3 linked regions of the Saccharomyces cerevisiae S288C genome follow. Changing the gene in region 1 together with any one later gene gives a genetic interaction. Each region holds a gene or a part of one and is shown on either strand. Other genes may lie near its edges.

What was found.
Region 2: mutations in PRE7 (region 1) and STS1 together harm fitness more than expected from each alone (negative genetic interaction), as found in Saccharomyces cerevisiae (2 studies listed by BioGRID).
Region 3: of PRE7 (region 1) and ALG7, changing one enhances a phenotype caused by changing the other (phenotypic enhancement), as found in Saccharomyces cerevisiae (one study listed by BioGRID).

What each region holds. Positions count from the first base shown.
Region 1 is NC_001134.8:138,473-143,364, reverse strand, and holds PRE7 (proteasome core particle subunit beta 6), read right to left. Parts: upstream 2,119-4,892; coding exon 1,393-2,118; downstream 1-1,392. Other genes in the region: ERD2 (Erd2p), read left to right, coding at 497-518, 616-1,253; FUI1 (uridine permease), read left to right, coding at 3,105-4,892. UniProt on the Saccharomyces cerevisiae protein: Non-catalytic component of the proteasome which degrades poly-ubiquitinated proteins in the cytoplasm and in the nucleus. It is essential for the regulated turnover of proteins and for the removal of misfolded proteins.
Region 2 is NC_001141.2:375,862-379,918, forward strand, and holds STS1 (Sts1p), read right to left. Parts: upstream 2,386-4,057; coding exon 1,426-2,385; downstream 1-1,425. Other genes in the region: MIND complex subunit DSN1, read left to right, coding at 1-1,300; SQT1 (Sqt1p), read left to right, coding at 2,625-3,920. UniProt on the Saccharomyces cerevisiae protein: Involved in ubiquitin-mediated protein degradation. Regulatory factor in the ubiquitin/proteasome pathway that controls the turnover of proteasome substrates. Targets proteasomes to the nucleus and facilitates the degradation of nuclear proteins.
Region 3 is NC_001134.8:704,022-708,744, reverse strand, and holds ALG7 (UDP-N-acetylglucosamine--dolichyl-phosphate N-acetylglucosaminephosphotransferase), read left to right. Parts: upstream 1-1,951; coding exon 1,952-3,298; downstream 3,299-4,723. Other genes in the region: chromatin-remodeling ATPase ISW1, read left to right, coding at 1-595; glutathione peroxidase GPX2, read right to left, coding at 729-1,217; YBR242W (5'-deoxynucleotidase), read right to left, coding at 3,359-4,075; VVS1 (Vvs1p), read left to right, coding at 4,690-4,723. UniProt on the Saccharomyces cerevisiae protein: UDP-N-acetylglucosamine--dolichyl-phosphate N-acetylglucosaminephosphotransferase that operates in the biosynthetic pathway of dolichol-linked oligosaccharides, the glycan precursors employed in protein asparagine (N)-glycosylation.

The DNA.
Region 1 (4,892 bases):
AAATTGTTATTCACGCTACTATCGCAATCGTCCAACTGAACCTTATTCTTTATTGTATATAATCTCTGCCGAGAAATTCTTATACTTATGTATCTGGGAATTCACCAGGTTAGAATACCTTCCCCTCCTCAATTTCTAATTTTTTTTTCTACCCTTATTTTTCTCTCTTGCTTCATCGCTCTCAAAGCTAAAAGCTAATACAGCAAACAAAAGTGTTATTAGGAATTCAATTGAGTCGTGAAAGAAAAATAATATTCGTCTTACTTGAGGACTCACTTTGGTCAATTGAGATTAAAGTGTAGTCTGCACCACTGAATTCCTCGTTTTCCTTTAAAGATCCGGGATGGCTTATCTGCGGTACCCGGACTGAAAACGACGTTTTAGCTAAATATTGAACACGTTAAAAATAAGTTCAAATTTCGAGGCAGATGAATTTGCTGAGGGCACTTGTTCAAGAGTGAGATATACGCGCAAGTTGAGGCATAATCAGTAAGCAATGAATCCGTTTAGAATCTTAGGTATGTTACTATTTGGAGTTTCATGAGGCTTTTCCCGCCGTAGATCGAACCCAATCTTACTAACAGAGAAAGGGCTTTTTCCCGACCATCAAGACAGGTGATTTATCACATCTAACCAGTATACTGATCCTGATTCATAATATCAAGACCACAAGGTACATTGAAGGTATTTCTTTCAAGACCCAAACGTTGTACGCTTTGGTTTTCATAACACGATACTTGGATCTCTTGACTTTTCACTGGGTATCCCTATACAATGCTCTAATGAAAATATTTTTCATTGTATCTACCGCTTACATTGTAGTGCTATTACAAGGGTCTAAAAGAACCAACACCATTGCGTATAATGAAATGCTTATGCATGATACCTTTAAGATCCAGCATTTACTAATTGGGAGTGCTCTAATGAGTGTTTTTTTCCATCACAAGTTCACTTTTCTTGAATTAGCATGGAGTTTTTCTGTATGGTTGGAGAGTGTGGCTATTCTACCTCAATTGTACATGCTATCTAAGGGTGGGAAGACTAGAAGTCTAACTGTTCATTATATTTTTGCCATGGGATTATACAGAGCATTGTATATTCCTAACTGGATTTGGAGGTACAGCACGGAAGATAAAAAATTGGACAAGATTGCCTTCTTCGCGGGACTTTTGCAAACTCTGTTGTACTCTGATTTCTTTTACATTTACTACACTAAAGTCATCAGAGGAAAGGGTTTCAAACTGCCAAAATAAAAAAAAAACCTGTTTTAAATAGTGTTCGCAGCAATATATACAAATTTCAATATATCAATGCTATACCAAAAGAAAAAAAAAATACATAAAATTGATGTTGATATTGGTCTATTTCTTTTTATACTATGATATGTATGCATTAATCTCTTTTTAGCTCATAAAATTCTTTCCTTACACCATCCTTGGTGACAATAAGGATTTCCAGCCCATCACCCACTTGTATATGTCTTTCTGTAGCAGAAGTGAACGAGTCTCTCACCAGTTTGATGACTTCTTCCACGGACAAGTATTTCAAAGGCTTTTTGACTTTACCGTTTGTACCTGGCTCATATTGATTTTTGAAATTAACCTGATTGTCCAAAAATGGCATGATCAATGATGCCGCAGCACCACCTGCTCTACACTGTTCTCTTTCGTAGGAGCCAACTGGGTCGAACGAATAGACAGCGCCCTTACCATCTTCGTCAAGACCCGCAATGATCGTATGAACGTAGTAAGGGAAAAACCTCTTCCCGTACAGAAGATGTTGAATGTTCCTTGCTGCAGAGTTTATAGATAGTTTTTTGTCGTTGTGGTCGAAATGGTACCATTTTACACTATTTTTGAATCTTTTTACTAAAGCGTCGCCGTCTGCTGCAAATCCATTCGCCGACATGACTATGTTATCACCACAATCAAAAACCTTGGGTTCATAACGAGAATTAATTGAGTAATCGGTGATATTTCTTGTATCGCCTGCTAACACTGCGAAATCTTCACCTGCAATGCCCAGGATTGTACCACCATTATCACCGTAAGGATTGAATTGATGTTCAATGGGTGTATTTGACGCCTCCGAAGAGTATTCTGATGCAATAGTGGCCATATTTTGTTTAACTTTATAGTTCAATAGTCTTGGCTACTCTCTTTCCAACTCAGTTCACCTTGTATTATACCGCTTGTTTTTGCCACCCTTTGAGTTTCCTCGATCCTTTAAGTTGGAAAAGATAAAAACAATTATCGCTCCGTACGAACACCAAATCTCTGCGACGCAGAGACGGCAATACAAAATCAGAAAAAAAAAACAATTTATTGCCTATGCTTCACTAGTCACAGGCTCTACGAAACATTGCTATCGCCTCACTGCCTTTACATCACTTAAGCAAGAAGTTTTAAATATTACGGCAATTCCTTTGCAGCAATACCTTTACTTTATTTCGAGAGAAAATAGATCGTAAAATGCCTACTCCAAGCTTTTAAATCAAGACTCAACCAAGCCCCCACACTTATCTTTAGAGACTAATGCCCTAACTCTTTCGACTGAACGGCTTAGAAGTCTCATGTCCTAGCTAGTTTGTCCTTGCGATGGGACACAAACGGCGCTGCCTCTCCTGCGGGCGATCAGAAAGAAGAAAAAGAAATGTGATTGAGCCATGCCACAAAGCGGTATGTGCCATTAATTTCTTTTTTTCTCCCCTTTCGCCTTTGAGTTTCTCCGCGGCGTTCACTGTGGTTGATGCTCGGGATTTGCCGGTTTCGTCCTTATCGCGCCATCTTTGCCATTAAAGGATGCTGCAATAAAACTTGGCGGTTCTCGCTACTGAAACTATTGTGTCAGCCTGGACAACACAGGGACATGTCGTATTTTTGAAAATTTTTGATCAATTCTCCAACGGAAAAGTTTTTCATTTCCTCTCTTGCTCAATTACTCGATGACATGCTATCCTATCTTTTATATAACAGTAGTATTGCTTCGACCTTCTTGTAAAATTTAAAACATAGTATTGGACAGCTTTGCTTTACTTTGCAGCACATTGCGGAAATAAAAGGCGGTAACTAGTCCTCTCATTCATTAATTCTATATAAGAGAAAATGCCGGTATCTGATTCTGGATTCGATAATTCTTCAAAAACAATGAAGGACGACACTATACCGACGGAGGATTACGAAGAAATCACGAAAGAGTCCGAGATGGGTGATGCGACTAAAATTACTTCTAAGATTGATGCTAATGTCATTGAAAAAAAAGATACCGATTCAGAAAACAATATAACCATTGCTCAGGATGACGAAAAGGTGTCTTGGCTGCAAAGAGTTGTCGAGTTTTTTGAGGTTAAGAATGACTCTACCGATTTGGCCGATCATAAGCCCGAAAATCCAATTAGGACATTTAAAGATTTACAGGAGTCCCTCCGTTCGACGTACTTGTACAACACAGATCTGCGGCCCGTGGAGGCAAAAAGAAGAACGTGGACATGGAAGCAGTACATTTTCTTTTGGATTTCTGGGTCCTTTAACGTCAATACATGGCAAATCTCAGCCACTGGGCTACAGTTAGGGCTTAACTGGTGGCAGACTTGGATCTGTATTTGGGTTGGATACACGTTTGTCGCATTTTTCTTGATACTGGGTTCCAAAGTGGGGAACAATTACCATATCTCTTTCCCCATTTCCTCAAGAGTATCATTTGGTATCTACTTCTCCATCTGGATTGTCATCAACCGTGTCGTCATGGCATGTGTCTGGAATTCTACTTTGGCTTATATCGGTAGTCAATGTGTTCAGTTGATGCTAAAGGCTATCTTCGGTACTAATTTGAATACTAGAATCAAAGACACCATAAAGAACCCCAATTTGACGAACTTCGAGTTCATGTGCTTCATGGTCTTCTGGGTCGCATGTTTACCGTTCCTATGGTTTCCACCTGACAAATTGCGTCATATATTTGCACTCAAATCCGCCATCACTCCATTTGCGGCCTTCGGTTTTTTGATTTGGACTCTTTGTAAGGCCAAAGGTCATTTGGCATTGGGTTCCCTAAATGACAATGGTGGCGCAATCAGCAAGACGGTTTTAGCATGGTCTGTCATTAGAGCTATTATGAGTGCTCTGGATAACTTCTCTACTTTAATCCTAAACGCTCCTGACTTCACTAGATTCGGTAAGACCTACAAGTCATCTGTTTACTCGCAATTGATTGCGCTACCCGTCTGCTATGCCATTATTTCCTTAATCGGAATATTGTCTGTCTCCGCAGCTTATACATTGTACGGAGTAAATTATTGGAGTCCCCTAGACATTCTGAACAGGTACTTGGATAACTATACTTCGGGGAACAGAGCCGGTGTATTCTTAATATCTTTCATTTTTGCGTTTGACCAGCTGGGTGCCAACTTGTCTGGTAACTCGATCCCTGCAGGTACCGATCTGACTGCATTATTGCCTAAATTCATCAATATCAGACGCGGTTCTTATATTTGTGCTCTAATATCGTTGGCGATTTGCCCCTGGGATTTATTATCATCATCGTCAAAGTTTACTACGGCACTAGCGGCATATGCAGTTTTCTTAAGTGCTATTGCGGGTGTAATATCAGCCGATTACTTCATTGTCAGAAAGGGTTACGTTAATATTTTCCATTGCTACACCGACAAGCCAGGATCGTACTACATGTACAATAAATATGGTACGAACTGGAGGGCGGTGGTAGCTTATATATTTGGTATTGCTCCTAATTTTGCAGGCTTTTTAGGTTCAGTGGGAGTTTCTGTGCCTATTGGCGCTATGAAAGTTTACTACCTAAACTATTTCGTTGGTTATCTCCTTGCAGCATTGAGTTACTGCATTTTAGTGTATTTTTACCCAATTAAGGGTATTCCA
Region 2 (4,057 bases), on another chromosome or scaffold:
CGCTCCATATATGCCTTATTACTATTACTACCATCCGATGAATGCACCAACTCCTGCAATGATACCATATCCTGGATCACCAATGCATTCGATTATGCCCAACTCCTCATTACAGCCCTTTTATTCGCAACCCACTGCTGCAGGCGGTCCCGATATGACTACTCCCCAAAATATATCTTCATCACAACAATTGCTGCCAGCTCCGCAATTGTTTCCGTACGGATCATTCCATCAACAACAACTTCAGCAACCACACTACATTCAACGAACAAGGGAAAGGAAAAAATCAATCGGAAGTCAGAGAGGTAGAAGATTGTCTATGTTAGCATCTCAAGCTAATGGGGGAAGCACTATTATATCTCCGCACAAGGATATTCCTGAAGAGGATTTTTACACCGTGGTTGGAAATGCGTCTTTTGGTAAAAATTTACAAATACGACAGCTTTTCAACTGGTGTTTAATGAGATCTCTGCATAAATTGGAGTTGAAGGCTAAAAACCAAGAGGAAGAAGGGGAACTTGAACATCTGACCAAAAAATCCAAGCTCGAATCAACAAAGGCAGAAACTGATTATGTGGATCCCAAACGTCTGGCTATGGTGATAATAAAAGAGTTTGTCGATGATCTTAAAAAAGATCATATTGCGATAGATTGGGAAGATGAGGAAAAATATGAGGATGAAGATGAGGAGAAGATTCTGGATAATACTGAAAACTACGATGACACGGAACTGCGACAACTGTTTCAGGAAAACGACGACGACGACGACGACGACGATGAGGTGGACTACTCGGAAATACAGAGGTCTAGACGTAAATTTAGTGAAAGGAGAAAAGCCCTACCGAAAGAACCAAAAAAACTATTACCTAATAGCAAAAACGTGGAAAACACAAAGAATCTTAGCATTTTAACGAGCAAGGTGAACGCGATCAAAAATGAAGTGAAAGAATGGGCAGTCACTTTAGACACTTCGAGACCAGATCTTGAATGGCAAGAATTGACTTCATTCTCATCACAACCACTGGAACCGTTGTCGGATACAGAAGAGCCAGACCTTGCGATTGCAGATGTTGAGACAAAGTTAGAAACAAAAGTCGATGAGCTAAGGTACCAGTCGCATATATTAAACTCGCACTCACTAGCCTTAAACGAAATAACAAATTCAAAAGTGAATAAATTGAACATAGAAACAATGAGAAAGATCTCAAGCGAAACGGACGATGACCACTCACAAGTGATTAATCCTCAACAGCTGTTGAAGGGATTAAGTTTATCTTTCAGTAAAAAACTGGATTTATGAAATAAAAGAAAAAATCAAAAAAAAATCGGATACTTCTGCATATGTAACATTACACAGTCATACATTTATATATACATATATATACATATTAATGTATTTGAAAAAGCAAAAGAACCATTCTATCCTTAGTTAAAGGGCGAATCAGTAGCAGCGCTACCACTATTGTTATTGTTTTCGTTTGCTGTCATGGTATCGTGGTGGTAAATAATACTTTCTTGAAGTGATAATGTTGATGACGATGCTGCTGAAGGGCTACCCATATCTAAAGATTTGAACAGCTGGAGTGGGCGTTCCAATAACCCATTTGAATGTTCATTGTATACCTGTAATCTTGTCATATGACTTTTCCAGACGGAGCTATTATCTGCTAATAAAATTATCCTGTCACGGGCAACATGTTCAATAAGCGTACACCATACGTGAGACAATTGTTCAATGCATTTATCGTAGTAGTAATTATTACTAGCTAATTCAAATCTGGGCAATTTGATAACTAATTCCGTGCAAATGTCTAAGAATTTTAATGATGCGTGCAAATTTTCCAAACGTGGTGGAATGTTATCCAGTATGAAATCCACCAAACAGTTTAAGAACTCCAGAATTTGAGGTTTCATTCTCACGAAAGCATAGTCATCTAATTTATTACTCTCATAAGACCTATTGTAAGGTATGCTCTGGTAAACGGCTTCTGATTTTTGTTTCAACATGTCCAGACACTTTTGTATACTGAAGTCTAATCCGATGACTCTCGTATGTACGCTTTGTTGTATTTCTGGATGTTTTGTCATCAAATCCACCAACAACTGCTGTAATTGGTTCTTGTTCATTAGTTCCATGCCTCGTTGCAAGGGCAGAGGCTGCCCTCTGATGAGCGATCCTGGCTGAGGCCTCCTCTTGGAGACGCCCCCATATTTCATCACATTCTTGTTACGAGGTAGTTCTTCCTCTTCTTGCTCCTCGTTGGCATACCGCCTTTTTTGTTTCACTCCAGCAGTTGGAATCATTACATTGCCTGTGCCTTGTGAACTGACTGTACTCTGTGTTATTTTACTGCTGGGTTTAAAACCCCATTCAAACCCCATCATAATGCTATACTGTCCTGTGTTTGTTGCTTTTGCCAGGTACCTTCGAACACACTAAGTGAGAATACTTGGTTAAGTATATTTTTAAGTAAGAAATTCCCACTCGCCGCATTATCACCCGCCCGCCGTTTCTTTTTCTGGCAAAATTTTCACTATGAATAACTAAAGAGATACATTCGATGGGCTTTAGATGAGGCCTTTTGAAGACCAAAACAGCACCAAATAGCGACACATTAAGCGTAATGGAACCTCAAGAAGAGTTTATAACTACCGAAGAAGTTGAGCAGGAGATTGTGCCCACTGTGGAGGTCGAACAAGACGTTCCCGTTGATATTGAAGGAGAGAATGACGACGATGATGAAATGATGAATGATGATGAGGAAGCTTTGGAGGTCGACATGTCCAACAACTCGCTTACCTATTTCGATAAGCACACAGACTCCGTGTTTGCCATTGGCCATCATCCTAACCTGCCGCTAGTATGTACCGGTGGGGGTGATAACTTGGCACATCTTTGGACATCACATTCACAGCCACCCAAGTTTGCTGGCACTCTAACCGGTTATGGCGAATCTGTGATTTCATGTTCTTTCACTTCTGAAGGGGGCTTCTTGGTCACTGCCGATATGTCGGGGAAGGTTCTTGTACACATGGGTCAAAAAGGTGGCGCTCAGTGGAAGTTGGCATCGCAAATGCAAGAAGTCGAAGAGATTGTTTGGCTGAAAACTCATCCCACTATAGCAAGGACGTTTGCGTTTGGTGCAACTGATGGATCTGTTTGGTGCTACCAGATTAATGAGCAGGATGGTTCTTTGGAACAGTTAATGTCTGGTTTTGTACACCAGCAAGATTGCTCTATGGGTGAATTCATTAACACCGACAAGGGTGAAAATACGCTGGAATTAGTCACTTGTTCTTTGGATAGCACTATTGTGGCATGGAATTGCTTCACTGGCCAACAATTATTTAAGATCACACAGGCAGAAATCAAGGGATTAGAAGCTCCATGGATTTCCCTATCATTAGCTCCGGAAACTTTGACCAAGGGTAACTCGGGTGTCGTGGCATGTGGGTCCAACAATGGTCTTCTGGCAGTAATTAATTGTAACAATGGCGGTGCGATTTTACATTTATCTACAGTGATTGAACTAAAGCCAGAACAAGACGAATTAGATGCCTCCATTGAATCCATTTCTTGGTCATCCAAATTCTCCCTTATGGCCATTGGCCTTGTCTGCGGTGAAATACTCTTATATGATACAAGTGCATGGAGAGTAAGACACAAGTTTGTTCTCGAAGATTCTGTTACAAAACTTATGTTTGATAATGATGACTTATTCGCATCGTGTATCAATGGTAAGGTTTACCAGTTTAATGCAAGAACTGGCCAAGAGAAGTTTGTTTGTGTGGGCCATAATATGGGGGTTCTTGATTTTATATTACTGCATCCTGTGGCAAATACCGGCACCGAGCAGAAGAGAAAAGTAATAACTGCAGGTGATGAAGGTGTATCTCTGGTGTTCGAGGTACCAAACTGATAGATAGTCGCGTATACATAAATAACAAAAAAACAAATTCAATAACATAAAATAAAAATACTTTTACATACAGAAGAAGAAACTTTATATATTCGACAAAGGAAAATGTAAAAAAAAAAAACACATTATTTTAAAAG
Region 3 (4,723 bases), 570 kb from region 1:
TAACATTGAAAGAATTGAAGATTATGAGAAATATCTGAAAATAATTGAGAATGAAGAAGAGAAGATCAAGCGTGTCAAAATGCAACAAGAGGCTTTACGTCGGAAGTTGTCTGAGTATAAGAATCCATTCTTCGATTTGAAATTAAAACATCCTCCTTCTTCTAACAACAAAAGGACGTACTCTGAAGAAGAAGATCGTTTTATCCTTCTCATGTTATTCAAGTATGGCTTGGATAGAGATGACGTATACGAATTAGTGCGTGATGAAATTAGAGATTGTCCCCTATTCGAATTAGACTTTTACTTCAGAAGCAGGACACCTGTAGAGCTAGCCAGAAGAGGAAATACATTACTGCAATGCTTGGAAAAGGAATTTAACGCAGGGATTGTATTGGATGACGCCACTAAAGATAGAATGAAGAAAGAAGATGAAAATGGTAAAAGGATAAGGGAAGAATTTGCAGATCAGACCGCTAATGAGAAGGAGAACGTTGATGGAGTAGAGAGCAAAAAAGCGAAGATTGAGGATACGTCGAATGTTGGAACTGAACAGTTGGTAGCAGAGAAAATTCCGGAAAACGAAACCACTCATTAAACCTTCTTTTTTTATATTTCGATTTTTTTTAATATATCCTACACCATGCTTCTGAAGAAAAATATATAATCATACTAATCTATAAATGTATTATTTATTGTTCCGGATAATTGCTTGATTATAGACAAAGATATCATTTACTTAACAGGCTTTGGATTTCTTGGTCCAAGGACGATGGTTTTGTTAAGGAGGAAAATCTTTGGACAACCTTACCATTGGAATCAACTAAGAACTTTTCAAAATTCCATTTGATACCCTTGAAACCTAGTAAACCTGCTTTTTGGCTTTTCAAATAATTATAGACAGAGTCAGCATTACTTCCGTTAACATCAATCTTCTTCATAATTGGGAATGTAACGCCATAATTCAACTGGCAAAATTCCGTAATTTGTTCATCAGAGCCCGGTTCCTGCTTCCCGAACTGATTACATGGGAACCCCAAAATAACAAACCCCTTATCTTGATATTTTTTGTATAGTTCTTCCAATTCTTTATACTGCGGCGTGAAGCCGCACTTGGAGGCAACATTAACTATGAGAACTACTTTGCCTTTCAGTTGGTCAAACTTAAAAGATTCGCCTTTCTTGTCCTTGCATTCTAAATCATAAAAAGATGTGGTCATTTTGAATTATTACTTTTTGTTGCTAATTGTATTCTTGTCAAGGTCAGCCATGCAGGGAAATGCAAGTTCTCTGCGCTACATCACATATTAGCAAATAGTAGTTCTTTATATATCAAAACAATAACAAAAGTACCTGCACATTTTTTAAAGCAGGCTGGCTTAGGGGCTTTGCACTAATACGGAGACAATGGAACTAATGCCTTTCACGATATGTGTGGCAGATATTGTGGTTTTAAACTCTTTGTCATCGGAATTACTAATTGTCTAGATATGGCCGGCCGAGTAGCCTCTAAAAAATATTAAACAGTTGAAAGTAAAATTGCTTGGAAAACACTACTGAGTCGTTGGTCATTTCAAGAGACTGCATCTATCAAAAATAGTCAAGATTTGTGTACATGTTCGTCGTACATTTAGTAAGTAACGTCCGTATTTTCCTTTTTTTAGCGGATGATGAGTAAAAAATTTCTTGTGGATTTATATGTTACGAATACAAACACAGAGGTTGATGCATGAATTTTTTCTAGCTACTACCATGTGTTTAATACAATAATAGTACAGGTTTCCTTCATCTCCTGTATATGGCCCTTTCCTTTTATATTGCCTCAATCTCGAAAAATGCTTTACTAAACAGCGCGAAAATTAAATTGTTAACATGTGTATATAACTGTGAAATATGTAAATAAAAACTTTATCAAGTAGAGCAAGGCGGAGAACGGTAACAAAAAGTAGACTATATGTTGCGACTTTTTTCACTGGCACTTATCACATGCTTAATCTACTATTCCAAAAATCAGGGCCCATCTGCTCTTGTTGCGGCCGTGGGATTTGGTATAGCAGGCTATTTAGCTACAGATATGTTGATTCCACGTGTGGGCAAATCCTTCATCAAAATAGGCCTATTCGGTAAGGACTTGAGTAAACCTGGCCGTCCGGTGCTTCCAGAAACAATAGGTGCTATCCCTGCTGCAGTTTATTTATTTGTAATGTTCATTTACATTCCCTTCATTTTCTACAAGTATATGGTCATAACCACTTCAGGTGGGGGCCATCGCGATGTCTCAGTGGTTGAAGATAACGGTATGAATTCTAATATTTTTCCTCATGATAAACTATCTGAATATTTGAGCGCTATCCTATGCTTGGAAAGTACGGTCCTCTTGGGTATCGCTGATGATTTATTTGATTTACGTTGGAGACATAAGTTTTTCTTGCCTGCCATTGCAGCCATCCCACTGCTAATGGTTTATTATGTGGATTTTGGAGTTACGCATGTACTTATTCCCGGATTCATGGAACGCTGGTTGAAAAAGACTAGTGTTGATTTGGGGCTGTGGTATTATGTTTATATGGCATCGATGGCAATTTTTTGCCCCAACTCCATCAACATCCTGGCAGGTGTTAATGGTTTAGAGGTTGGCCAATGTATAGTGTTGGCCATCTTAGCGCTATTGAACGATTTGCTGTACTTCTCGATGGGGCCATTAGCCACAAGAGACTCCCATAGGTTTTCCGCTGTTTTGATTATCCCATTTTTGGGTGTATCCTTGGCGCTATGGAAATGGAATCGTTGGCCCGCCACAGTGTTTGTGGGAGATACATATTGTTATTTCGCTGGAATGGTATTCGCAGTCGTTGGTATACTGGGTCATTTTTCAAAGACGATGCTTTTGCTATTCATTCCTCAAATCGTTAATTTTATTTATTCATGTCCTCAGCTATTCAAATTGGTCCCCTGCCCGAGACATAGGTTACCTAAATTTAATGAAAAAGACGGTTTAATGTATCCATCAAGAGCAAACTTAAAAGAAGAACCGCCAAAGAGCATTTTTAAACCGATCTTGAAGTTACTATACTGTCTCCATTTGATTGACCTGGAATTTGATGAAAATAATGAGATTATTAGCACCTCTAATATGACGTTAATAAACTTGACATTAGTATGGTTTGGCCCTATGAGGGAAGACAAATTGTGCAATACAATCTTGAAGTTGCAATTCTGCATTGGAATTTTGGCTTTACTTGGAAGACACGCTATAGGCGCTATCATCTTTGGCCACGACAACCTATGGACAGTACGTTGAAGATTATGTATTGGTAGTTACTTTGTACTTTTATGACGCAAAAGTTGGTATTTATGATAATTATTTAGTTATCGATTGAGTCAAATCGGCGAAGTATTTTTGGCGCTGCACGACAAGGTCACTTGTCCAGCCCTTTACTTCGTCTGTTTTTATGCTAGCTACAGCCCCAAAGAAATCATCGAAGTTTTTCGTTCCTTTGTATTCCCTCTCGTACTCAAAACATTGTACAAGCATTTCATATTTATCGATATCTTTCACGTATCTAGCTTCCAATGAGGTGACATTTTCATAAGCCAACCAATCGTCCATAATTTCCTTTGCCGCGATCTCATTGTATGGCTTGATCAGAGCATTACATAGATATTTTATGGTTTCCCATTCCCGACGATGCTTTTCTTCCTTCCCAATAGGGTCAACTGGAGTAATATCGCCAACTAAAGATTCGGCGATATCGTGCACCAATGCGATCCGGACACATTTATCGCGGTTAACCCGCGAATCCTTGATCAGCATGGTGATTATGCTCAATCTGTACATGTGATCTGATATGCTTTCACATTCTTTAATACCGAGGTCAAGATAACCGGTTCTTCTCTGAATTTTTAATTGCTGTACCACGTTCAAAAACGCCAGGATATAGTTTGGATGGGGTTTAGAGAGCTCATTTTTAACATATTGGGGTACTTGGCTTTCAGGCTTCCATTCAGTTGTTAAACGTGTCTTTCCTGCCTCAACAGAACCAGAGCATGATTTCTTATTTGTGATCGTTGCTGTCATATTTTTTTTATGTAGGCTTTCTTTGACAATTGTTTTTTATGAGAATAAAAATAGTGCAGAAGGTTTATTAGAAATGGAAAAGGTTTGCTCCTGCGAAAAAAACCATTCAGTGGGTATTTTCAGGCTTTATAATGACCAATGGACAGAGTAAAACAGTCTAATTATGATAAAACCATATTTATAGATTAAGACTTTTCTTTTATACGTTTCAGTAATGTTTTTTTTTTTTTTAATAAACGAAATAAATTTTTAACATCAGGACCGAAAAAATGCGATGAGCTTTTAGATCGACGAAAAGTGTAAATGATTTACCTAAATATATATATATGTTAGCGAAAAAAGCTTAGCTTCTGGGCACAGTGCTCGGTACACTTTTGGTAGAGCTGTAACGAGCAATGATACGCGGTCTGTAAAACGAACTTGCTTGTGTAGTCATACGTCGTAGGCGTAATGTAAGGTTGTCCGAGAAAAGATGGGAAGTGTGAGGGATGAAATGGATTTCCCTTAAAGTTGCTTCCTGATTAAGGGAATAACAGGAGAACAAAAGTTGCTGAATATCTTTCTCTCTTGGAACAACAACAAAACACAGAGACTAAGGCATAACAAACTAAGTCATGGCTGAAACTGAAAGACTAATGCCTAACGGTG